Rattus norvegicus: one gene and its partners. The protein of the gene in region 1 binds, or shares a complex with, the protein of each later gene. Links are inferred from orthologs where the notes say so. Each region holds a gene or a part of one and is shown in the gene's direction. Other genes may lie near its edges.

What was found.
Region 2: Mks1 (region 1) and Tmem231 share a complex: the UniProt entries of both Homo sapiens proteins name them as parts of the tectonic-like complex. The link is inferred for Rattus norvegicus from reciprocal best matches to the Homo sapiens genes MKS1 and TMEM231.
Region 3: Mks1 (region 1) and Tmem107 share a complex: the UniProt entries of both Homo sapiens proteins name them as parts of the tectonic-like complex. The link is inferred for Rattus norvegicus from reciprocal best matches to the Homo sapiens genes MKS1 and TMEM107.
Region 4: Mks1 (region 1) and B9d1 share a complex: the UniProt entries of both Homo sapiens proteins name them as parts of the tectonic-like complex. The link is inferred for Rattus norvegicus from reciprocal best matches to the Homo sapiens genes MKS1 and B9D1.
Region 5: Mks1 (region 1) and Tctn1 share a complex: the UniProt entries of both Homo sapiens proteins name them as parts of the tectonic-like complex. The link is inferred for Rattus norvegicus from reciprocal best matches to the Homo sapiens genes MKS1 and TCTN1.
Region 6: Mks1 (region 1) and Tmem216 share a complex: the UniProt entries of both Homo sapiens proteins name them as parts of the tectonic-like complex. The link is inferred for Rattus norvegicus from reciprocal best matches to the Homo sapiens genes MKS1 and TMEM216.
Region 7: Mks1 (region 1) and Tmem67 share a complex: the UniProt entries of both Homo sapiens proteins name them as parts of the tectonic-like complex. The link is inferred for Rattus norvegicus from reciprocal best matches to the Homo sapiens genes MKS1 and TMEM67.

Annotation. Positions count from the first base shown.
Region 1 is NC_086028.1:73,151,301-73,155,398, forward strand, and holds the start of Mks1 (tectonic-like complex member MKS1), read left to right. Parts: upstream 1-1,298; 5' UTR 1,299-1,920; coding exon 1,921-2,000; intron 2,001-2,419; coding exon 2,420-2,529; intron 2,530-3,869; coding exon 3,870-3,940; intron 3,941-4,098. UniProt on the Homo sapiens protein: Component of the tectonic-like complex, a complex localized at the transition zone of primary cilia and acting as a barrier that prevents diffusion of transmembrane proteins between the cilia and plasma membranes.
Region 2 is NC_086037.1:56,794,173-56,796,515, reverse strand, and holds part of Tmem231 (transmembrane protein 231), read left to right. Parts: intron 1-481; coding exon 482-563; intron 564-1,731; coding exon 1,732-1,837; intron 1,838-2,155; coding exon 2,156-2,333; 3' UTR 2,334-2,343. UniProt on the Homo sapiens protein: Transmembrane component of the tectonic-like complex, a complex localized at the transition zone of primary cilia and acting as a barrier that prevents diffusion of transmembrane proteins between the cilia and plasma membranes.
Region 3 is NC_086028.1:54,269,696-54,273,995, forward strand, and holds Tmem107 (transmembrane protein 107), read left to right. Parts: upstream 1-1,500; 5' UTR 1,501-1,631; coding exon 1,632-1,718; intron 1,719-1,895; coding exon 1,896-1,963; intron 1,964-2,021; coding exon of another isoform or gene 2,022-2,045; coding exon 2,046-2,146; coding exon of another isoform or gene 2,147-2,263; intron 2,264-2,979; coding exon 2,980-3,076; coding exon of another isoform or gene 3,077-3,271; coding exon 3,272-3,341; 3' UTR 3,342-3,825; downstream 3,826-4,300. UniProt on the Homo sapiens protein: Plays a role in cilia formation and embryonic patterning. Requires for normal Sonic hedgehog (Shh) signaling in the neural tube and acts in combination with GLI2 and GLI3 to pattern ventral and intermediate neuronal cell types.
Region 4 is NC_086028.1:46,684,721-46,688,947, forward strand, and holds the start of B9d1 (B9 domain-containing protein 1), read left to right. Parts: upstream 1-1,427; 5' UTR 1,428-1,486; coding exon 1,487-1,549; intron 1,550-2,621; coding exon 2,622-2,690; intron 2,691-4,012; coding exon 4,013-4,124; intron 4,125-4,227. UniProt on the Homo sapiens protein: Component of the tectonic-like complex, a complex localized at the transition zone of primary cilia and acting as a barrier that prevents diffusion of transmembrane proteins between the cilia and plasma membranes.
Region 5 is NC_086030.1:39,998,094-40,001,593, forward strand, and holds part of Tctn1 (tectonic-1 precursor), read left to right. Parts: intron 1-504; exon of another isoform or gene 505-1,477; intron 1,478-2,501; coding exon 2,502-2,621; intron 2,622-3,111; exon of another isoform or gene 3,112-3,301; coding exon 3,302-3,445; 3' UTR 3,446-3,500. UniProt on the Homo sapiens protein: Component of the tectonic-like complex, a complex localized at the transition zone of primary cilia and acting as a barrier that prevents diffusion of transmembrane proteins between the cilia and plasma membranes.
Region 6 is NC_086019.1:216,620,876-216,623,519, reverse strand, and holds the end of Tmem216 (transmembrane protein 216), read left to right. Parts: intron 1-365; coding exon 366-567; intron 568-1,260; coding exon 1,261-1,276; 3' UTR 1,277-2,144; downstream 2,145-2,644. UniProt on the Homo sapiens protein: Part of the tectonic-like complex which is required for tissue-specific ciliogenesis and may regulate ciliary membrane composition.
Region 7 is NC_086023.1:30,338,167-30,341,666, reverse strand, and holds part of Tmem67 (meckelin precursor), read left to right. Parts: intron 1-649; coding exon 650-730; intron 731-1,202; coding exon 1,203-1,319; intron 1,320-3,500. UniProt on the Homo sapiens protein: Required for ciliary structure and function. Part of the tectonic-like complex which is required for tissue-specific ciliogenesis and may regulate ciliary membrane composition.

The DNA of each region.
Region 1 (4,098 bases):
AGTTTATGTTCAGTGTCCATTCCAATGAGTTTCTCACAGCCAGTAGCTGGGAAGGAGATACTCGGCTTTACCCTGACACAGTCAATGGCCTGGGAGGTGCCACGGAAAAGCTTAATTTTACTACTGTTATTATTAGTGGTGGTGATGGTGTGTGGGCACACATGCCAAAGTGTGGAGGTCAGACGACAACTCTGTGAAATAAGCTTTCTCCTTCTAAGGATCAAACTCAGGTCATCATGCTTAGTGACAAAGGTCTTCACCCACTGACCCATTTCTACAGCTCTTGATTGATTTTTTTTAATTGTTTGTTCTTCTTTTGTTTTGTTCTGTTTAAAATGAGGTCTTAGACTTGAAGTCCTTTTATTTATGCCTCCAGTGCTGGCAATCCAAACATAAACCCCCTCCCCTGGATATTCTCAGCTTAAAAAAAATCAGATTGACTTGCTTTTCCATCTCCATGGTTTCAGTCTATAGAAATCATTCTTTAGTTGGAAATTGTATTTTCTTTTCTTTTTTTTTTTTTTTTTTTTTTTGGAGCTGGGGACCGAACCCAGGGCCTTGCGCTTCCTAGGTAAGCGCTCTACCACTGAGCTAAATCCCCAACCCCGGAAATTGTATTTTCTTAAGGATGTGGATGGGAGACAGTAAGTCAGTGGAAGGTTTGAGGCCACAAAAACCAAACCAGGCTGGAATCTGTTTTTACCACCTCGGCACTCATTAAGAAGCCCCTTAATTTACTCCTGGCCTTCGGTAACTTCATCCTTTAAATTGCAATAAAGTATCTCTTGGAGAGGTTTTGGGGAGGGTTACAGTCAATATAAACTGCGTGAGGTCCCATTGGGTATGTGCTATTTGTGGTGAGTTCTTAGTGTACACAATGAGTAGCTAATGCGCCCAGGACTTCTCTGCCCTATAATCAAATGGCCATGAAATGTCTCAGTCCAGGCAACAACTGCTTGTTCAGCTGAATGGGCAGCAACTGTCAAATACTTATTACCAATATTGATATTGCCAAACAGCCGGAATTAAGTTTATACTATCTTTCCTTTGATGCTCCAGTGAACCATGACTTCTGAATGTCACTTTGGTTTTTCAGGGGCTGGCTTGGAATCTTAACTGCTTAATAATCCAGAACAGACATGCCACGGGGAAAACACCCTTTCCTTCCTTTCTGCTGGATTCCTTGTTTTTACTGCTGGCTTCCTTGTTTTTTCTTTCTCTGGCTCAGTGCGTACCCACAAAACTACTGATATACCTGCCCTACAGGTTTCTTTGTGGTTTTTTTCTTCAAAGAATATGTTTTATTTTCGTAGCATGTCCTTTCAACCATACTCACCAATTGTTTAAGCCTGAGTTTTCTTTCTTTAAAAAAGTTTTTTTATTTATTTCATGCATAATGGTGTTTTGGCTGAACATAATACGTCTGCGCACAGTATGTCCACTGTAAGGCGACAAGGTGTCTGACCCCTCTGGAACCGGAGTTACAGACAGGTGTGAGTGGCCATTTGAGCACGCTGGTTCCTCTGGAAGTCTAGTCACTAACCTCTTCACCACTAAGCCATTTCTACACGCCCCCTAGGCCAAAGTTTTCAAATGTTCAGTGGAAGGCAGTGTTTGGTCAGAAAGCAAGAACTCTGGTCACCTGGTTCTGGCCGCCATCACCATTTTTGCACCTAAATAAAGTAGCTGATGGCGGTTTCCTCATTTGTGCAGTGCATTAGCTCTCACACAGGACAAGCAAGGCTGCAGACGTCACACATGCTCACTTGCTGAGGGTCCCTTGCTTCTACATTAAGGACTGGCTGCCGCAGGCGTGGAGAGCTGCGTGCGCAGAGCCTCCCTTGTCTAAGAAGCCAGCGTCTCCGTTGCCAGGGGAACGGGGCGCGCTTTCCGGCGCGGTCGCCGCGCGAAGCAGCTGTCATGGCGGAAGCCGTCTGGAGCACTGACACCGGCGAGGCCGTGTATCGCTCCCGGGACCCCGTGCGCAACCTGCGCCTCCGGTAGTCACTCCACCCCAGCTCCAGGGTCCCCTTACTCTAAGCTCCAGGGCCCCCTAACTTTATTCCACCCTTAAGCTTTTGGATGCTCAGAGGCCCCTACTTCCGCTTACAATCCCAACTACTTCCTCTGCCATTTCTGTGCGCGTTCTGGTTCAGGATCTTTTCCCACTGAAAGCTTACAAACACACCTTCCAGACTCACCCCTGTTCAAGTCCATTCAAGTTCTCGCCACTTTCAAAGCCCTCAGACCCTTCTGTCCTGCCTCACTGACTTATCCATCAGACGCCCCTACCCACCTCTTCTCTAGCTGCCGCCTTGGCACCTCTGCCTCTGTGATTTCTTTCTCCCATCCTTACTGCGTGTATCTCCTTGCTGTGTGTCTTTGACACGCACATTTGGGACTTCTCTTCTCTTGACAGAGTTCATCTGCAAAGAATCACATCAAGCAACTTCCTTCATTACCAGCCTGCTGCCCAGATGGGGAAGGACCTCATAGACTTGGCCACTTTTAAGCCTCCTCAAGCTGCTAGTGGGTGTTTGTGGAATAGAATAGAATCATTTGAGAACTGAGGCAAGGGTGCGGGGCAGTAGGGTACCGAGGAGGAACAGAAAGCTCAGAGAGGTTGAGTTTGCTGCCCAGTGTCACATAGCTGGGGAATATGGAAGCGTTTGAACCTGGGCAATCGTTTCGTTTTTTTTTGTTTTGTTTTGTTTTGTTTTTTTTGTTTTGTTTTTTTTTGTTGTGGTTTTTTTTTGTTTTGTTTTGTTTTTTTTTTTTACATTGTACTTTACATTTGTGTGTCTGCAAGCCCATGCCACAGTGCAAGAGTGAAGTTCAGGGGATAACCTTTGCGAACCAGTTCAGTTCTCTCTCTGTACCTGATGCGTCCTGGGACTTGAGCCATCTTACTCATCCTAGTTGTGACTTTGACCGGGATTGGGGGCCGTTGGGGGGTCGGTAGGGAGACTGGGGTGGGGGGGGGAATGGGGGAAAGGGCTTCTAAGAGAAATATGGTCCAAACTCCAAATGTATGTGTAAATACACTTACAAACAATTTTAAAAATAGGAGTTTGCATGAAAAATGTGATTTCTTGTTCTTTGCCTTCAAAGCCAAAAGAAAGGACAAGAGTCTCATGTTGGGCCAGTAATCTTTAGTGCTTTTGTTATTTCTCGTTCTACTCAGAAATATTCTTAGGCATTCTTTGTGTGGATCACAAAGGTTGTGTCTTGAGAAAGATGCACAGAACTAGGAGTGTATTAAATATAGTTCTTAAAAAAATTTATTTGCCTTCCCTCCCTCTCCTGATGGTCTCCTGAGTTAATGTTTATGGATGATTTGGTAGGTGGCTTCAGAAAAACATCAGGATGTTTATCTAGCCAATTCAGCAAATGCAGGCAGGATTGAGGAAGGGCTGACTCTTCAGCCTCTAACTAAATTTCAGTTCCTTGTACTGGACAAGATTATATTTCCTGGAAGGCAGAGTTACCTTTTATTCAAATTAGAGTAATGATTAGGACACCTCAGATCCTAATCTCTCTTCTGGCATTAACCAAAGTGTGTCCAGCATGTGCGTTCTTTGTCTAGAGTGAGTGCTTAGTGAGTCACTGAATTCCAGTGGGGTTCGTGGTCGTTGTGAATCAGGACTTTGAAGCCAGACCTGGTGGTATACACATGTAATGTCAGTATTTTTCTGGCTGAGGCAGGAGGATCTGGAATTTGAGGTCAGATTGGGTTGCAGAACGAGACACTTCCAAACAACAATAACAAAAATTTTAAGACCCAAATGAAACAAATATAGGAACACTGGTTATAACCAACCACCGAGGAAGAAGTGTGGCTGGTCTGATTCATTCTGTTGTGTTTGGAGGTGGACACCGCCCTGATGAAGAAGAGGAGGAAGAAGTTATAATTGGGTGGCAGGAGAAGCTGTTTAGCCAGGTGAGCCAGCATGACTTGTCCTCAGTCTGCCTCCACCTACCTGTCTCGTACCTGGCCACTGACTCATACTGTCAAACTGATTTCCAGAAAGGGTTGTGGTGGCTTATACTTTCTCCCGTTATGTTTACGTAGCCATTGTAATGTAACGGCTACCACTG
Region 2 (2,343 bases), on another chromosome or scaffold:
TCTCTCTTTCTCTCTCTCTCTCTCTCTCTCTCTCTCTCTCTCTCTCTCTCTCTCTGTGTGTGTGTGTGTGTGTGTGTGTGTGTGTACTCAAAAATGATTATTACAGAAAGTTTATTCATCCCCAAAGAAAAGATTACTGAACCGGGGCTGGTGAGATGTTCTATTCCCGGCATCCACATAAGGTCACTTACAACCACCTGTAACTCTAACTCCAGACTCCAGGGTGACCCAATGCCTCCGGCCTCTATGGGCACGTGTGCTCACATGTACATGTTACCCCCACCCTCTGACACACTCACATTCGCACACAAGTATGAATAATAAAAATAGAACTCTACAGAAATAATTCTGAACCAGGGCTGGGTCACAAGCACAAGAGCGTGGTCTCTGGGCCAGGGTGGCCTCAGGATTGAGGCTGGGTGGGCTGCTGCGTGGGAAGGAGAGCGAAGTGCTCACAGTGTGTCCTCCTGCCTCGCCCCAGGTATCGGTGATCAATGGGACCAGTCCTTTTGCCCATGACTACGACCTGACTCACATTGTCGCTGCCTATCAGGAAAGGAATGGTGAGTTGCTGGACCCCTGTCCACAGGCTGCCCGGGCTTGCCGGAACTTGTCCTCTGTCCACTGTCCACACCCTTCCCCACAAGCCACCTCTCCCGTAGCCCAGCATATCAGCAATCACTCGCTTTATTTATCCTGTCACTGGCTTGGCTGCTTTGCTCTCATTAGTGTGTATTGGTTTGAGTGAGTTGTCTCTCATAGTACACCTGTAAGAGAAGTCAGGGCCGTTTACTGTCCTCACTTTCCAGACAGCGATGGGTGATGCGTGTCAGGCAGTCCGCAATGGTAGGCTGGTAGAAGGGAGGCACCGGCAGAACTGACTATAGGTAGCGTTCGTCCCTAGAGGAGTGTCCCCAGGCTTGAGTCAGCACACCAGGCTGGTTTGTGGTCTAACATTTTCCCTAAAGGCATCAAAAGTGTTTCTGGCAACACGACATTATGGGTGACAGCCACAAACGTTTCACAAGTGGAGGGCTTTTAATTCCAGTATTTCTTTTTAATTTTATGCAGTACAATAGCAGCAATACAATTCCTAAAACTAAATCTGACAACTGCTGGCCCCAAGATCAACTCTTTCCTCTTTAATTCATTCACTCTTTGTCCATATATAAATAGTTTCATACAACTTTCACTCTTCGGGGCTGAGAGCTCGAGCTCTTGCTTAGCATAGATCGGGTACAATTCCCCCGATTCAGTCACCAGTGCCACATAAAGCTTGGTAGCACACACACACACACACACACACATAGCCCCAGCCCTCAGGAGATGGAGACGAGAGTAATCAGAAATTCAAGCTCATCCTTGGTAATATAGCAAGTTGGAGACCAGTGAGCTACATGAGAAGAGAGAGAGAGAGAGAGAGAGAGAGAGAGAGAGAGAGAGAGAGAGAAACAGAGACAGAGACAGAGACAGAGAGACAGAGAGAGAAGAAAGGAGTCAATGAGATGGTTCAGTGGGTGGATAAGAGCATTTTCCATTAAGCCTGATGACCTGAGTTCTATCCTTGGGGTTCACATGGTGGAGGGAGAGAATTGGTACACCTGCACACACACACACACACACACACAAGCATGCAAATAGATCTTAGAAACAGAAAAGACTTTGGGATCTGTACTCAAAGACTACTTATAGCCCTTCGCTTTGAATTAATGACTAATGTTTGCCTTGCAGTTACCACTGTCCTCAGTGACCCCAACCCAATCTGGCTGGTGGGCCGGGCCGCTGAAGCTCCTTTTGTGATCGATGCTGTCATCCGCTATCCCGTGGAAGTCATTTCATATCCTTTCTGTTAGCCGGGTTCCACTAGGAAAGAAGAGCTTCCTTAGTTTAGTTACCCCAAGTAGGAACAGATGTGGGACTCACAAGATAGGAAATTGCCACAGCTCTTTAGCCCCATACAAATGACTGCTGCTCCTACAGCAAAGAAAAATCAATTTCCTGTGCCTCTTTCTTTCTAAACATTTCTGAGTCAGAATTATCCATGTTTATATCTTAATAATCTCTGGAGAGTATTTGAAGTATTCTGTTTCCCATCTGACCTGAGCTTTGGGGTAGCTGTTCCTTACTCGTGGCTGCTGTTCCTTAGCATTTGTACTTATCAGCCAGGGTTCTGGGAGATGATAAAGTTTGCCTGGATCCAGTATGTCAGCATCCTGCTCATCTTCCTCTGGGTGTTTGAAAGAATCAAAATCTTCGTGTTTCAGAACCAAGTAGTGACCTCCATCCCTGTAGCCGTGCCCCAGGGAGAGATAAGGAAAGAGCACTTATCCTGAGAAGCTTCTG
Region 3 (4,300 bases), about 19 Mb from region 1:
GTGTGTCTGAGGACAGCTACAGTGTATTCATATATAATAAATAAAAAATTAAAAAAATCTACGTTGTTGTTATTTAAGTTACAAATACTATACTGTTTGTCAAACATTCCACCAGTCTTTTATAATGAAAGTGTGAGTGTGTGTGTGGGTGGGGGGTGTCTTTTGTCTGGTTTGGGATCTCATGTTAGGTTAGGTTTATCCCCCACTCAGTGGGAAGAACTCCAGCCTGTCTTTCATGACCTTTAAGTAAAAAACGTTGACTCTGCATTCTAAATGTTTTTACTCACTGGTTTAGGTAAGGGGACCCCATGTATTACTTTAGGGAGACAGAAACATTTCCTCTCTCTCTCCCCCTCCCCCCAATTCCTTGAAACGAAAATTTAGGAATTATCTATTTCAAAACTTTCCTTTGATATTATTCTAGTGTCACCCTTTAAAGTTTTTAAATTTACAGCATACATTACCTTGCAGGGTTTTGTTGGGGTTTTGTGTGTGTGTGTGTGTGTGTGTGTGTGTGTATTTGTTTGTTTTGTTTTGTTTGTTTGTTTTGTTATCAGTCTCTCTGCCTAGAATATAAACTGGAGGGACTTTATCGATGTATTCTGAGTCAAGCACAGTGCCTGGCATCTGGGAGACATCAGATATTTGTTGAATGAATGAAATCCCTCTGGGTCTTGTCTTTTAGGCTGGTTTAGAGGCACACACACACACACACACACACACACACACACACACACACACACAGAGAAATGAGAGAAGAGGGGGTGCAAAAGGAGGAGGTTCATTGTCAATGGGACTTGATTGTGAACTGGGATGGTAGTGAGAACTTTCCGATCGCAGGCATTTCATCCGAAGCCCCAAATCAGTCACATCACCCTAAGAAGAGGTTCTGGGTCTGTAACTGAGCAATGTCCGCGGCCTGGCAACTCAAAGCGAGAGTGAAATCGGTGGTGAATCAGCCTGGTTTAAGCCTCCCAGGGGCGCACAAGCTGTTCTAGTCCCCCACTCCATTCTTCACCTTTTCAGATCCCTTGGGATCCCGAGGAGGCTGTCACCTCATCCACCCACATCCTATTCTACCCATTCCAAGGTTGCTCATTTCTGCACTCGGCAAATCTTTCATGAAACCGAGACAAGTTATTTAGGGAGAAATTAGAGTCGTTCATCGGCAGAGGTTTGGTCTTGGGTGGGAGAGGGAGCCCTCTGACAACCAGGGGCTGTGGGGGGGGGGCGGGGAGGGCTTGGCGAGACTGTGGGGCAAAGCTCGGTGCTGAAGCTCTACTCCTTCGTTCCCTCATCTCCTGGCGCCCAAGGCAGTGAGTGGGAAGCACAGGAAAAGGGAGGATTTGGTGGTTACGGGTGCATCCTCCCGGATTCATCCCACAAGCACCAGGAGGTGAGCATCGGCTCGGGTACCTGGCCTATAGACATCTGCAGAGGGCGCAGCACTATCGCGAGACTTCCGGAGGCAGCTGCATGGCGCCTGAGGACGCAGTTACCATGGCAACCGGGCGGCGCCTGAGCACGCGGGAAGGAGGCTTAAGTAGAGAGGTCTGGCCTGCTTGCTCTGGGAGACTTGATGAGTGACCCTCCTCAGACTTCTACGGCCTCCGCTTTGGGCCCCCGAGGCCATGGGTCGGATCTCCGGGCTCGTGCCCTCTCGATTCCTGACGCTCTTGGCTCATCTGGTGATTGTCATCACTTTGTTCTGGTCCCGGGTAAGACGTGGACAGGGCGCGCGCGCGTGTCTTCTTGTCCCTCCCATTCTCACCTTAGAGTGGACCCAGCTCAGCTCAGTCCACTCCCACAGACCCACACTGGGTCCGTTGCTCCCGTCCCCCGCAACCCCATCCCTCTTTTGACATTTCTTTCTTTCTTTCTGCCCGGCTCACCAGGAAAGCAACATCCAGGCTTGCCTGCCTCTCAAGTTCACCCCGGAGGAATATGAGAAGCAGGACAACCAGTGAGCTCTTGGGGCGGGGTGAGAGTGCCAGGGTCTTCTACGCAATCCGGAAACCCAGGTCCATCACCCTTTCTCTCTGCAGACTGGTAGCAGCGCTCTGCCTCACCCTGGGCCTCTTTGCAGTGGAGCTGGCTGGCTTCCTCTCAGGAGTCTCCATGTTTAATAGCACCCAGAGCCTCCTCTGTATCCTTTCTGCCTGGCCAGCGTCCCCATGCGACATCATCACCACTCACTCTTTCCACTTCTGTAGGCCTTTTGGGCACAAGTCTCTGCCCTACGTGGCAAAGCGAATCTCTCTAGGTGAGAGGTTTTAGACAGTTTTGGGGAATTAATAGACTTCAAACCTTAAACCCTGATGTGAGCCAGGTTCTGGCGATCCATGAGTGGGAGTAAAACCACTTTATCCTGTTTGAGGAAGAGATGGATAAACATCTGTAAATCAGTGTGATTAAACAGTATTCTGTAGGAGTGTGCAAAATACAAACCATTGTGGGAACTCAAAAGGGACCAAGAAAATGAGACACATAGGAAGGTTCTCGATACCCGGGTGTGATGTTGCAAACCTTTAATCCTAGCACTAGGGAGGCAGGAGCAGGTGAATCTCTAAGTTCGAAGCCAGCTTGGCCTACATAGTGAGTTCCAAATCAGCCAGGGCTACATAGAGAGACCCTGTTTTTTAAAAAAAAAAAAAAAAAAAAAAAGATAGCCGTTGACTCTGAGTTGTGGACAAGGAGGACCAGAGCACTGGAGAAATTCCCACAGTGTATCAGACCTGTAGGTATTCTTGTGAGGCCTAGGGCATATGTGACATTAACTCCCAAAAGTGTACAGGGAGAGGTCCTATCAAAACAAACTCAGCTCTGGCCTCTTACACATAAGTGTCCACAAATTCAGAAGGCATGGCTGCCAACTCTGGTGTTTGTCTTAAGGGAAGGGAACAAGCTGAGCCCAAGTCCGAGTACTAAAGGGACCCATCACTTACCTATTATTTTCCTTGACTCTGCTGTATTTTTAAGCCATTGCAGCCCACTGTAGCGCGTCTGTGGCCCTATCTTTCTTCATATTCGAGCGATGGGAATGTACCACGTACTGGTACATTTTTGCCTTCTGCAGGTTATTTTGGAATGGAGGGTGGTGGAAAGTCTACCCCAAATCTGAAGGTTTCCCCCACCTAGACCTTTCCTGCACATGTGAAATTGGTAGAGTTTTAAAGAGTCGTACCCATCCGCTAACCCACTCACATATAAGGCTTGGAGGTTTGAGTGTTTGGGTCGGAAGGGGCTCTAAACCCACCCCCTACTTCCACAGCGCTTTTCCAGCTGTCACTGAAACTGCGTTATTCATCGCTGTCTTTGGGCTGAAAAAGAAACCCTTCTGATCACAATCCGATGAAGAGACCAAAGCCGGAAACGTGATGAACTCCCTCCCATTGCTGGAAGAAGAAAGGGAGAGGCTTCAGTTTTCTCTCGCCCTAGTCTTTTGCTCCTCCCAACTGCGTCTAAACAGAAAATGGCAATGTTGGGATAAGATCTCACAAATCTTGGGTTATAATTTTATTAGAGTTTTGTAATAAAATTCATTTTATAATAAGAGCAAGGCTTAGACTATTTGTCAGAAGACCATTGGGTAAATCAAAAGGCTGATGTAAATAAAGGCTTTTTTCTAGCCTTCTGTACGTGAGCTAGTAGCTTATGCTTCTATTTGGATTTTTACGGTACAAAATAGGCGGAAGTGAGTGGGCGGGAATATGTAAATAAGAACCTCACATAGGGCTTCTAATTTGCTGTATGTGAGCGGAGCATTATGGGAGAACTTTGTTTCTCTCTTTCTGCGCCGAATGGAAAAATAAAATATTTCAGGCGACTTGCAAATAGATATTGCTCTTGAGTTGCAATAACTATAAGTCATTGGGTTCGTGCTAAATTGTCATATTCTCACCCTTTCTTTAATATGGAATGTCTTTACTTAATTAGGAATGGGCTCCCTTTGTCCTTTATCGTCAGGAGGTTAATCCTTACCTGTTCCTCCTCTCGGAGGGCAGATAGAAAATGATGATTGGAGCTTGCATGATCTGCTGATTAGCATTTCCGTGTAATCAGGACCTGACAACATCCTGATTGCTCCTATCTGATTCTCTGACGATCATATTTATTTCGCATGTACTGACTGATAGAATTTAGGAATTTTGTCCTGTGCTCCTGAAATTTCTCCTAACACTGGTCAGAGCCATGACTTTAAGGTGCTTTTAGTAATTGTGTATATGACTGACTGATTGCTCAGACCTTATTTCTATGACAACAAGTGCCTTGCTGCTGATTGTTTGCCCAGCTTCTAGAA
Region 4 (4,227 bases), about 26 Mb from region 1:
AACAGTGAGAGAACACCAGGCACATCTCAAACCGTCTCCTCCTCTCCCTCTCCCTCGCTTCTCTTCTTCTTTTTTTTTTTTTTTTTTTTTATTTTTTTTTACCAAAGCTCCCCGCCCCCCACCCCCACATTCACCGCCACTGCCGCCACCGCCGTCGGCGCGCTCCGCTTCTCTTCTTCTGATCACTGTTGACTTAGGCATATTTGGAGAAGCCAATATCATGGGATGACCACCAAGAATGGCAGCAGTGGTTGAGTGGAGCCAAATACGCTGTGAAGACCAGCAGGTGGCAGCCACCAGCTAGAAGAGAGGGGGTCTAGAATCTCTGCTTGTAAGAAGGACTCAAGGCTCTAAGCTAAAAGAATTTCTTACACTCTTGCACAGTGGCCCACCTGGGAGGCTGTGACCACATGCGTTTCCTCTTCCTCACAGGTGACTTTGGGAATCCCACCAACTGACTTCCAAGCTAAGAGCTTGTGTGATGACCTGGAGTCTGCAGGCTGAGCTCCCTAAAGTATACACATCTGCATCCATTCGTTTCCAGGCTAATCATTAATGTGCTCTCTAGTGTTTCCTTATACGTTCTGCATGTGAAGCCTGATTCTGCAGCTAAATTGCTGCAACGAATATGGCTTAAACTACCTTCCGGGTCTGGATTTCAGTCACTTCCTCCAGAAAAGAGATGTTTTCTTTTCAATGTTTATTCATTAAAGAAGTCGTTCCCAAGTATTTTCCATTGGCCGGACCAGGACCAGGCAATGACGGCCCCCAGAGTCGAGCTGGGGATCTAGAGGCAGAGACTAGCACTAAGCCACTCTGAATTAGACAGTGATAGAGTAAGTGCAGTTGGATCCAAGCGCTAACAGATGCGTCTACTGAGGATGCTGGTGACTTGGGATCAAGCTCTGATATCCCTGAGCTGCCAGTGATTCTCCAAAAATGGGTGATTGGTTCCGTGGGCTCCAGCTTCTCATGCAGGAGCCAGGACTTGGACAAGTGGATTCTCCAAGTTTCAATGACAAGAGCCTCAAAGGGCTAAAGGGCACATCCTTCACCTGAGGCAATGCACTGCGAGATGCCCGCTGGACCACACTGCGCACTAGTCTCCCCAACTGTGGCGCCTGTGCGGTCGCTGCATGTGGCCACAGCGACATCTCCTGGAGAGAGGTAACTCTAGCACGTGACCTTCCGCGAGCCTGAGTCCCGGTGCTGCTTCTCAGTATACAGCTTTCCGGCCTGCGAGCTTCAAGCATGGCCAGGAGAGTGAAGTCACAGTCCCTGCGGGTCCGAGGACCCGACCCTGGGGTTTAGGTTTCGCGCGACGGAAACGGAGGACGGGCCCCTGGGTCGTAAACAACACTGCGCCTGCGCACTCTTGCCTTTACGCGAACTCGTCACCGCTTGAGAAATTTGTCCTAGATGAGTTGCCATCTGTTTCCAAGACAACCCAGGAGCCTCCTGGCAAGGGCGCGCGGCCCAGCCTGCAATGGCTGCAGCAAGTCCCAGTGTCTTCCTGCTCATGGTCAACGGGCAGGTAGAGAGCGCACAGGTAAGCAGCCACTTACTCCTCCCGTTCCTCTCCCTGGGCTCTCTCCTCTGCTCTTAGAGAGTCAAGCCATTGCTCTGAGCGTCTCAAATAATTGGGAAGGCGAACCAGCATTTGAGAACCTTGGTGCCAGGTTGATGGACCGGACAAGCACGAGTGAAAACTGACCTCGAGGTGTTGAGCTGGTACCAAAGTCACACTATGGTCTCTTGCTTGGCTCCTGTTTACTTGGTTGAGTGATGGTCTAGAACTAATGGGATTCAGCCGATCATTTAACAGCTAGGAACTTAGCGGAAGGCAGTGGCCAAGTGGGATTTGACCCGGGTCTGACAGACAGAACTTTGCTACATTCTTCTTCTGGGCTGCTTGTTGAAAATGCTCATTATTCCTACATGTTCTGAGGTTTGGCTGAGATGATTTAAGTTCTACCAGGTCTGAAGCTCAGTAGGTGTTCCTGCCTTCCCATTCATTGGTACTGCATCCTCCGTTTTCCAGTAAGTGGATGCCTACCTGGGCTGCTTCCTCTGGACACCTTCCTTCAGCTTCTGCTCTGGGCCTTCCCTTCTTCCCGGCCCTCAGTTCTAGCCATGTTCTTTGGCCCTGTAGCTTCTTGGGTTCCACTGTAGCTTCTTGGGTTCCACGGCAGCTCATTTCTGTAGCTCTAACTTATGCCCCGAGGCATGAAACCCGTTCCTTCCTCAATCTAACAGGGCTTGTCAGATAGACATTGGTTTCCTGGATGCAGAAATGCAGAGGAGCGTTGGGAGCCAAGCGATGATCCTTAAGCCAGCTAGAGAGTAAAGAATTCCCTGAGGGTGAATTCTGAAAGATGGGCAAGGGGCCTGCCACATGATGGACTGGGAAAGACAGAAAACAGAGCAAAATAACCCGTGATAATTGGCAGTCTGGGACTAACCCCAGTTTCATTTCCATTCCCTGTCCCTGCTGAAACCCATGTCCACATCCTCAACCCCAGATTTCTCATGTTCATGATTCCTACCCACTGCACCTGCCTAGCTAGTGTGTGGGTCCAGTTTGCACTTTCTAGACCAAAGCCTGTATACTTTTCTCTCAGTTTCCAGAGTACGATGACCTCTACTGCAAGTACTGCTTTGTGTACGGCCAGGACTGGGCCCCAACAGCGGTGAGTTGGACTCATGGGCCTCCCCTAGAGCTCTTGTGATTCTTAAAGTTTTCTCATATGCTTCTATTCCAGACCCAACAGGTAGACACTAAGGTCAGAGATGACCCAAACATGAGCTCCTTTCTAGCAAAGCTAGTTTACAGTATACTACGGGGTTCACTCATCTGTGTTGGTGGCAGTCAAGAATAAGAAGTGGCAGCCTTCAAAAAAGAAAGAAAAAAGAAAAAAAAAAAAAAAGACGTGGCAGGCTCTGGAGAACCAGCTGCCAATGGCTATGGACACCCATCAGCCAATACCCCCCCCCCCCAAAATGTGGCCCCTTCTCAGACAACAAAAACCAACCAGAACAAAATAAAGGGTCTGTTCTCGAGGTTTTGAGTTCTTTACCACAGGAAGGGGCTGCAGTGAAGACCACCACCACACCATACTTCATTGTTTGCATAGCCTAACCTTCACAATAGTTTAAAAAGCCAGCCAAACATGATAGCATCTGCCTGTAATCCAACACAGAAGGCTGAGGCAGGAGTGTCTCTAGGAATTCAAGGTCAACTCTGGGCTACATATAGGAGGACCACACAACTGGAAAAAATAAAAAATCCAACGTCAGGGTTGGGGATTTAGCTCAGTGGTAGAGCGCTTGCCTAGCAAGCGCAAGGCCCTGGGTTCGGTCCCCAGCTCCGAAAAAAAAGAAAAAAAAAATGTCCAACGTCTTTGAGCCAGAGTTTCTTCATCTGTACCACAGACATGTTAATACTTTTTGGGTTTTCTCTTATGATACTTGCATAGAGATTAATTCTATTTTAAGTTGTGTGTCTATATATCTGTGTATGGGTATGAATGCAAGTGGAGGCCACAGGTCAGATCCCCTGGAGCTGGAACTGCAGGTGGCTGTGAGCTACCTTTGGGGCTGGAGAAAATTACTGAACAGAATATGTACTTTTGCAGAGGACCCCAGCTTGATTCTCAGCACCCACACTGTGGCTCACAACCATTTATAACTTAGTGACTATTATTGAGTCCCCTGGGAGTGACCAATGTCTGACAGAGTCCCCATCTTTGTGGAGAACATCTGTACTTGTTAAGGAGACACTACGTAGGATACGTTCTGTGCTACGTTCAAGGACAGGTGGAATGAAGAGGGAGTAGATCAGGAGCTAGAGTGTACAGGTAACTAGGAGGGTAGAATCTAGACCAAGGCATTTCAAGGGCGGGTAGAGACAAGCAACACAGAACTTACATGATCTCTCCACCTTGCCTGCTTAAATAGAAAGGTCATGGGTTCCTGGCACTCAGACCAGCTGTCTCTGCCAATGTCTATACAGGGTCTGGAAGAAGGGATCTCACAGATAGCATCCAAGAGCCAAGATGTACGGCAAGCACTGGTGTGGAACTTCCCTATCGACGTGACCTTTAAAAGTACCAACCCCTATGGCTGTGAGTCTGTGGGCCATGATGGAAGGGGTAGATCTTTACCACATCTGCCACCAATCTCCTTTAGGTGGCCACTGCCAATGCCTGGGTTTGTGCCCTAGCTTTT
Region 5 (3,500 bases), on another chromosome or scaffold:
AAATAGAAATTTATAAGGGATGAAATGTTTTATTTTAACTGGGTGTGTTAATCAGGGCAGCCAAAGGGGGCTTTACTTTGATAGCTGGACCTTGGTAGTCAGCCTCAGGAGGAGGAGGAAGTGGCCAAATGTGGGCACAGGCCTTGGGGCCAGCTTTGGGGATGTGATCTAATGATTTAACAAGGCAAGGCCTGCCAGAGCCATGTTGGCCAGGCCCGGGCCTACCAGAGCCCTCCAGAAACAATGTCACTGACCACACAGGGTTATTTGTTTGGTGTTGGCGGACACAGTGGTCACTCCATAAACTGGGAGCACAAGTGACCACCATAGTCGAATATGGTTGGGAAATCAATGTTACATCTAAATCTGGAACTTTTTAGTGCTAACATGTTACTCATCATATGGTAGCTGTGGTCAAAACTGGGGCTCCCTGAAATATCTCTAGCCCTCCTGTGTGAGGTGGACATGAACCGTGAATTTCCTGTCCATCTTCAACTTTCTCAGTCCCCAGGACACCAGGCCCTCCAGAGTTTCCTGCAGTCCTCCAGGATGGTCAGCTCAGAGGGCAGTGATGCAGTAAGCCTTCCTCGGGCATTTGGGGACAGGAGGGACAGGAGATGTGGCCATGCCATGCCCTCTGTGCTGTAATGGCAGTCCACCCACACGGGAGTTCTTTCCATTCCAAAGTTCCCCAAAGAGTTTAATGGAAGCTGACATCCTACAAATAGCTTCCTGGTCACACGTGACTCTTCTGCCCACCTCCTTCTCTTGTCTTAACAGCAGAGTGTGGGCTGTCCCCAGCGGAGGTGTGCACTCCATTCTCCCCTAATTACCCAGCTATTTCTTGTCACAGCCGCTTCAGGCCTCTCAGTATCTGCTTTGTGTATTTACAAGGAGCAGCTCAGTGGGGAGAGTAACCTCACCAGACCTCCATTCCAAGAATCACTTAACCCCTGCTCAGCCTCAGTGAGCCTGGGGCATGGCTCCTAGCTTCCTGACACTGGGTAAAGACACCAGGCATTAGTGCCAGAGGAAGCAGGCCCACTGTACCTGCCACAGCTCCTCACCTAGCGACAGGATATTGGCAAGCCAGTTCAGTGACAAGGTTCCTAAAAGGCACTTGTAAGCTAAAGAATCCTGTGAATGCTTTTGGCAGTCTCCAGTTTAGCAGGTCTGCTAGCTTTCTAAGCCAGGACATAATTTAGAAAAATATACATGGAGATTGAAACATCCAGGCAAGTACTGTAGCTTAGGGGCCCTCTGCCCACTGCAGCTCCTGCAGTCCCAGTTCTCAGCAAGAGGAGGGTCCGGAGGCCCCGAGTCCATCTACCTCAGTGAGGATGCTGCACTGTTACTGTTGTTTGTTGATTGAGACAGGGTCTCTGTAGTCCTGGCTGTCCTGGAACTCGCTGTGTGGACCAGGCTGGCGTTGAACTCAAGTGTCTGCTGCCTCTGCCTCCGAGTGCTGGGAATAAAGGTGAGCACCATGACTGCTCTGCACTGTCACCTTTGGGAACATAGATACCATAGAGCAGGCTGGCTTCAATCCCAGAGATCTGCCTGCTTCTGCCTCCCCAGTACTGGAGGAAAGGCATGTGAAACTGAGCTGGGTTTTGTTTTTTGTTTTGTTTTGTTTTTGGTTTTTTTTGTTTTGTTTTGTTTTTGTTTTTTTTAAAGATTTAAAAAAAAAGTGTATGGGGGCTGGAGAGAAGGCTCAGTGGTTAGAGCACTGACTGCTCTTCTGGAGGTCCTGAGTTCAAATCCCAGCAACCACATGGTGGCTCCCAACCATTTGTAATGAGATCTGATGTCCTCTTCTGGTGTGTCTGGAGACAGCAACAGTGTACTCACATACATAAAATCTTTTATTAAAAAAAAGTGTATGAGTACACGTATATATATGCATGGGCATAGTTCCTGCAGAGGCTAGAGGAGTGTGTCGTGTCTCCGAGAACTGGAGTTACAGGTGGTTTTGAGCTGTCAGGTGGGTGTGGGGACTCAACCTAAGTAACCAGTGCTCAACTGCAGAGCCATCTCTCCACCCCAGGATGTATCTTCGTTGCTAGATGGTGAAATTAGATGACAGAATGCTGGTGTTTCCTGTTTTATTCTAACATGCGATACAAGCAAGTTCACCTTCCCACTGTTAAATTCTCTCTTCCCTGCTGACCCCTAGCCAGTGTCCAGAAACATCTCTGAGGTGGATGAGGACTGGTCGAGGCCCTAAAGGTCCCACCACTGGGTAGTGGAACTTCACATTTGCACAGTGACTCTGGCTTTTGGGACTAGGAGGGGCTGGTGAAACGGCATTTGTAGCACTAGATGCTTTAGTAACTCCAGCTCTGTGAAGTCGCTTGTACCTGAACTTGTGTGGCCCGTTTACCCTAGTGTTCTGAACATTCTGTAATTGGGAGACATTTTCTAATTAAAACATTCAGCTGCAGAGTTGGTCTGACTTGTGGTTGTGGGATATTCTGGTTTAATCTAGTTTTCTTTTGCAGGGCTCTTGCCAGCTTCCTGTGGCTTTGGGTATAGAAGTAAAATGGACTAAGTATGGGTCCCTGCTGAACCCCCAGGCCAGGATAGTAAATGTCACTGCCCAGCTCATCTCAATTCCAGAGGTAGGCCTGCTGGCAACGGTCTCCATGGGCTGGGGTATGGCCCAATCTTTTTTCCCTCCAAGACAGGGTTTCTCTGTGTATCCCTGATGTCCCGGAACTCTTTTTGTAGACCAGGCTGGCTTTGAACTCAGAGATCCATCAGCCTCTGCTGAGATTAAAGGTGTGAGCCACCAGACAGAACAGCTCTAGGCCCGTTCTTAACCCAGGACAACCTTCAGCCTCACACAGAAAGAAATGTGAAGGAAGACAGAGGGCCCAGGGACAGCAGGGTGACGGGGAATGCTTATTACTCGGGAGGCGAGATGGCCATCACTCTCTGGATTTCAGTCTCTTTACAGTGGGGTCTTGGGATTGAGATGGCTGTGCTCACGTCACAGCTCCTACGTGAGGGAGGGCAAGGTAGGCAGATGATGCTGTGCCCTCTCACACTGACCCCGAGCCTCAGGCTCCTGACTTAATTTCGAGTCTTGAAACAATTCCATGATCATTCTTTAACTTGTACTCAAAAAGGCTGACAGTTTTATTTGCAGTCACAATTCTTGTGAACACAGAACTGTGGTTGCTGCTGCTGGACCAGCATAGTTGATAGCATAGTGCTCCTCACCCGCCGTGCGGCTCCTCAGGCTGGCCGTGAGGGCGGGTGAGGAAGATGATGACAGTGCTGACTCTTTTCCTTACAGCCCCTCCCAGGGCCTGAGAGGACCATGGTCATTTCCACTGCAGTGACATTTGTGGATGTGTCAGCCCCTGCAGAGGCAGGCTTCCGAGCCCCACCCACCATCAATGCCAGGCTGCCCTTCAGCTTCTTCTTCCCATTTGTATGATGAGGTGGCCCCCACACGGGTGAGTACCCATCATGAGGGCTTCCCTTTGGCAGCA
Region 6 (2,644 bases), on another chromosome or scaffold:
TTAGTTCAGTGGGACTTAAATTTTAAATAATATTCCCTGCTAGAGAGATGGCTCAGTGGTTAAGAGCACTGGCTACTTTTCCAGAAATCCAGAGTTCAAAGCCCAGCTTCACATGGTGGCTCACATTCCTCTGCAACTCCAGTTCCAGAGAATATGATTTGTTCTGTCACAGGCACCAGGCCAGGCACACACACAGTGCATACTCATACACAGAAAATAAGCAATAAATTAATAAAATATTTAAATATGATATTCCCACTGAGAGTAATTTTTCTCTGTTCCGTCCATCTGTCACACCAGACACTTTCTGAGGCCAGGAAGAGCAGTCACTATTGGCGGTGACCATGGGGCTGTTTTTTTTTTAGGTACAAAGGGAAACCTCTGCCAGCGAAAGATGCCCCTTGGCATCAGTGTGGCCCTGACCTTCCCTTCTGCCATGATGGCTTCCTATTACCTGCTGCTGCAGACCTACGTGCTCCGCCTAGAAGCTATTATGAACAGTATCTTGCTCTTCTTTTGTGGCTCAGAGCTGCTGCTTGAGATGCTCACGCTGGCCACTTTCTCCAGGTATAACTGCTGAGGGCTGGATTCCCCACCCAGATATGGCTTTTTGAAGGCCTAGAAGATGTAGAAAACTGAATTTAAGGGGGTGTCTATGGGGATGCTTTTCTTACTTCAGTAGATAGAAAGGTTCTGTGTAGTTCTACTTCTGTATACTCACCTCTGTGTATACACAAATGATCAGGAGTTGTGTAGAGCAGAGGCTGATGTCAAGTGTCTTCATAACTTTCCACCTTATTATATATTGGAGAGTCTTTCACTTGAACCCAAAGCTCTTCAATTTGGTTAGAGCAGCTAGCCAGTTTGCTTCAGGAAACCCATTTCCCCATCTATAGATGCTGGTCCTCATGCTTGGGTTGCAAGTACTTTACCCACTGAACCATCTTCCCAGTCCCCAAAGCTTCCTTCCTAAGGAAGATAGTCTTCTGGTTCTGTGGAATCAAGAGGCTTCTAAAATGCAGAGTCCAAGCTTTCAGTTGTTAGACACTGGTCTTATTTTTTTTAATGTCCAGTGGTGTTTGACCTGCCTGTATGAGTCAGATCCACTGGAACTCGAGTTACAGACACTTGTGAGCTGTCATGTGATGCTGGGAATTGAACCCAGGTCCTCTGGAAGAGTAGCCGATGCCCTTAACTGCCTGGTCATCTCTCTAGACCTACTCACTGGTCTTTTAACAGTTTCTTTCTTTTTGCCTTTAGTATGGACAGGATCTGAAGTACAAGAATTCCAGTTGGTAGCCCATCAGGTCACAACCCATATCCGTCTGGTACTTCAGCCACACTTGTGAAAAGTGGTAGGTCGAGCTGACCTGGGAAAGGTTTGTGTGGTTTTTCCTCAGCACAGACATTTGGGCATTGAGCACCTACCTGAGGCCAGTGGCACCATCTTTAAACCGGGATGGATCATCAGCAGGAGACTCTTTCCTTTTGTTGAAGGGGCAAGGCTGTCCCCATCTTGGTGTTTCTAACAGCTTCCTAATGACTTCAAGTTCTCTTTTGTGGTCATTATGGCCAGAGAGAGCTCCTTGTGTGGCCCATCTAGTTTTGTCTGGCTTCCAGCAGAACCTGAGCCACAGTACCCTGTACGTAACACATCTGCCCTACATGACCATGCAAAGAAAGCCTCATAATGGTGGGCTCTTAAGCGGATTCCAATGTGTGTTCCCCGTACCCTCCTCCTCATCCTGCTCAAGGAGATGGTGATCTAGAACCCATTTAGTAGTTCACAGTAGTATTTTTCTAATTCTGATCATGAAGCAAACACAAATTTTTTAAATAAAAAGTATTTTCTGGTATGGGGCTGGTTGTCTTTTCCCTAAGATGCCTCTTTTTTTTTTTTTTCTGACTTAAAAGTGTTATTCATATTATGTTTTATTAGGTTAAGGTTTTGTCTACAGAGCTGTTTGTGGCCATGGGACCGAGGAGGGCCTTACAGCCTCTGGATTATTAGTTACAGGTGGTTAAAAACTCTCCTGTGTGCTGGGAATGTAACCAGAGTTCTCTGAGAACAGTAATTGCTTTTGCAGCTGAGTTCCCACAAACTGAATCTTTACAAATAAAGTCTTCATTTTCTTTTCCTTCTCTGATGAGTAAACATTTGTGTTTGATTTCTCCTTTGCTTTGGGCCTGGTCATCTGTTCTGCTCAGTCCAATGTAGACAGGTCTCCAAAGAAACTTGGTTGGGCTGTGCTTAGGGCCAGCACCTAAATTGAATCTCAGTTTCTAAGTCATCAGAAAAACAAACATACAAGAACATTAACAGGGTAGATGTCAGGCAGATTGTCCCAGGCTCTAGTGCTGCCATTGCCCCACCTGCCATTTTAAATTATTACAGCTGTTTTCAATCCTGAGCCACCATGCCATCTCCTCCCAGATTCAATGTACATCCCTCAGCAATACTATAGTCTAACCAGAAGTCATTGATAAAAACATTGGTTGTGGCTGTTGGAAGACAGGGGTAGGTCATAGTTGTCCAGCTAATAAAATTGCTTTAGGAGTTTGAGTGAGGGCTCCAAGAAAACACTGTGCAGAAGCCAGGGAGTGGAATGCTTCAGCCACCAAGTGGGGATGTGATAACACCACT
Region 7 (3,500 bases), on another chromosome or scaffold:
ACAGTAGCATTCTTAAAACTGCACCTAACATCTAACCTCTTCATAAATGTGCCTAACAGTCAAGCAGGCTTCAGTGTTCACTCCTTTACATTTTAAATCTTAACTGTTAGTATGTTCTGTTCCTTAAGAGTGTGTGTGTGTGTGTGTGTGTGTGTGTGTGTGTGTGTGTGTGTGTGTGTGTGGTGGTGGTGTTTAGTTTAAGGATATACTATAAACAAGGTGCTATGGAGTCTCTAATCCATCCTTAGGTTAAGCATGCCTTATGTAATAGACACTGTTGAATCTGTGTGAAAGCCCTAACACTTACAAGAGCTAACTAGACTATGACAAATGCTATGAAGATACCTGACAGCGATGTGAGGTAGTTAACAAAGAAGAGTAGAGGTTAGGATTGGAGAGTGGTGGGGAGGGCTCCAAATATGGCACTTTTCAAAATGGTCACTCAGGAACTCTTGACATAATTCCAAATCTCACCGCCTTAGGGGATAGACTCAGAACAGATAAATGGGATTTTATCCCATGGGAACCTTTAGAGGCCACTGTGTTCTTGGTTGGAACGTCTGTTTTCTTAAAATAGTCCACTGCGGTTATTAAGGACGGTGGACTTCCCGAAGGAGGCAGCATGCGTGACTATGCCTTGCTGTTTCAGGCTGTTTTCTTTGCTGCCTTTTATGAGAGATTCATAGAAGACAAAATCCGGCAGTTCGTTGACCTGTGCTCCATGAGTAACGTGAGTACTCTCTAAGATCATCTTGCGACTGTCACTTTCCACTTTGGAAAGACAGGTATGTGTAGAGAAGCATTAAAACGTGCCCGTACATCTCACCGAGCAGCTCTACAGCAGTTTAATAAGTTGGCTTGTGATGATCGGATTGCCCATCTAATTTTCAACCAGCTATTAATTTGAAGAATAGATATATTCTTCCACAAGTTAATACTCTTGCCTTACCTTTTTTCTTCTTTATCTGCAGTTCTTAATTATGAATAATTAATTAGTGATTCATTCATCCTGCAGCCCCTGATTTTTTTTCACACATTCTTAGAAAACAGCTCTAGCCTTCTTTCCACTAACTTTATACACAACAAACAACATTGTTTCCTTGCTAATCGTTATTTTGGGTAAAAGGTAGCCATTTTAACAAAAGCTTACTTGGCCGTTATGGAGAAGTCCCTGATCGCCTCTTTTCCCGCGCTCTCTGCAGGTGTCAGTGTTCCTGCTGTCCCACAGATGTTTTGGATATTACATTCACGGCAGGTCAGTCCACGGCCATGCGGACACCAACATGGAGGACATGAACATGAACCTGAGGCGAGAGGCGGTAAGAACGTAGTCCTCACGAATGACTTTGGAAAGTCGCAGGGCTGCCAAGTAATGACCTGAGTACGAATGGAGCCCGGGTTTGTCTGCAGTCTCCATGGATTTCAGAGTAATCAAGTGCGCCAGGAAAGTTCTTCCTCCTCTGCAGGGAGAGAGGGAGGATGTTTGAGTTAGGGGAGCACCAGTGCACTGAGACTAATGGGTGGAAAGACAGACTGCAGTCATCAGTGGTTCTTAAACAAGAGCGTGTCAATGGCAGCTCTAGCGAAGGGTCAGGCTCACGGGATCCGGACACAGAGACTCCTTTCAGTCAGTTAAAAATGAAGCAAGCCGACACTGCACTTCCTGCTGTGCTGGGAAGACCGAGCCTGAAGACAATCAAATCTCTAGTTTAACCACGGTTTTATAGGAAGAACAGAGTCCAGAGGAGCAACCGAGACAGAGCTGATAGAAGTCCTTAGCACATCCAATGTGCAGCGCACCACAGAGCACATGGCTGACTGTCTGTAACAAACCAACGGCGTTAAAGGAGAGGAGGGCTGATGGTGGGGTAGAGGAGATCCTGCTTGAGGGACACTAGGAAACAGGGCAGCGAAGCTTAAGATACCGAGAAAGTCTGACATAATCATTCGCTGTTCTATTAAGTGATTAATTTTGTTAGTTATAAAAATGACAGTGGCGGTTGTTTCATTAAATCCTTATTAGAGAATCACAAGTGAAATGACAGGATCTTAAGTCTACAGTAAAATACCCTAAATAAAAGAAACCTGGGGAGATAAATGAAACAAAGATTGGCTAAAGGTTGATGATACTGAGACCCGAGCAAGGACACCCCAAAAAAGAACAAGGGGTGCTAAGAAGAAAGCCTTAGGGGTTCACTGAGCCCATATCTGCGACTTGGAGAATTGAGGAGCTAAACCCTCCCTTAGCTCTTAGACGCGACTGTGGGTTGAAAGGTTACCTGTAATAATTTAAGCCGTAAGCCCCTGGGAACAAAGATGACAACCGAGGAGTGCCATCAAAAGTGTACCCTTTGGAAAGCCTCAGGACGTGAGTAGTAATTCAGTTTAGTTTACTATCATAGGACATATATGTCAGTCACAATTACAAGATAGCAAATTAGGGTAAAGTGCATATAACTAATATGTCAGCGATATTGATATCTAAAACCATGGTGCTCCGTCTTCAACTTGCCATACTTCTGTGAAGCTAATGGTTAATAAAATGTGAACCGTAAGACAGGTGTTATCAGGAAGGTTTTTACAACTGGAAAATGTTTTGAGTAGTAAACGTCAGGAGATTCTTGGGACTCTCTAGTCTTAGACTGCTTATGTGAATTTTAACCCAAGGAAAATTCTTAGAGTCTAGATTTTTCCACAGGAAGAAAGCATGCAAACGTTTGAGAGGATTGTGTAGGCTGGTTTACCTTTACAATTAAACCTCTGAAGTTAGTGCTTAACTATTTTATATTAAAGATGGGAGTCCACTGTCCTCATGTCAGACAATGAGGACCTTCAGTGGCAATGACTTTGAAGGGGACAAGGAGGAGGATGCAGGCATAAATGTCTTGGAAAATGCCCAGCAGGACTAGGGAGCAACTGAAAGTCAGTGAGAGTCACTACTCCACACATGATCAAGTACTAGCAAGCCAGTGGGTGCTGGGTCCCCAGCCCTCCAGCTCTCCGAGTGTGCCCCGGGGATGGTGAAGCCTGAGCGGAAGGAGACCCTCGCAGTGAAGGAGCTCAAGGCCCAGAGGATTCCTGGCGTTGTCGGCTACCGACCAGATGGAAGCTACGAAGACTGGGGTCATCAGAACCGACTGAGCAGAGATATCAGACTGTGCCTGGCTGATTTTCCTATGCTGCCACTTTTTATATATAAATAAAAGTCATCCTTTCTACCTCCCCAAATGACTATGTATGTATGGAAAATTGCTCGGGATATGATGTTTAACAAAAAAAAAAGTGTAATTCCGAGTGTTGTCATTGTTGTTGTTGTTCTGTGTATGTTTGTGACTTAGAAAAGAGCTGGAAATGATGTGCTTTAATATATCCAGTCCAGATATTGAAATTTATAGCTGATCTTTTCTTGGTTCCTCTTCATAGTTTATGCATTCTTCATTCCCCACAATTTCCTATACTTTGTTAATTTAAATTTTTATTCAAAATAGAGAATCTCATAT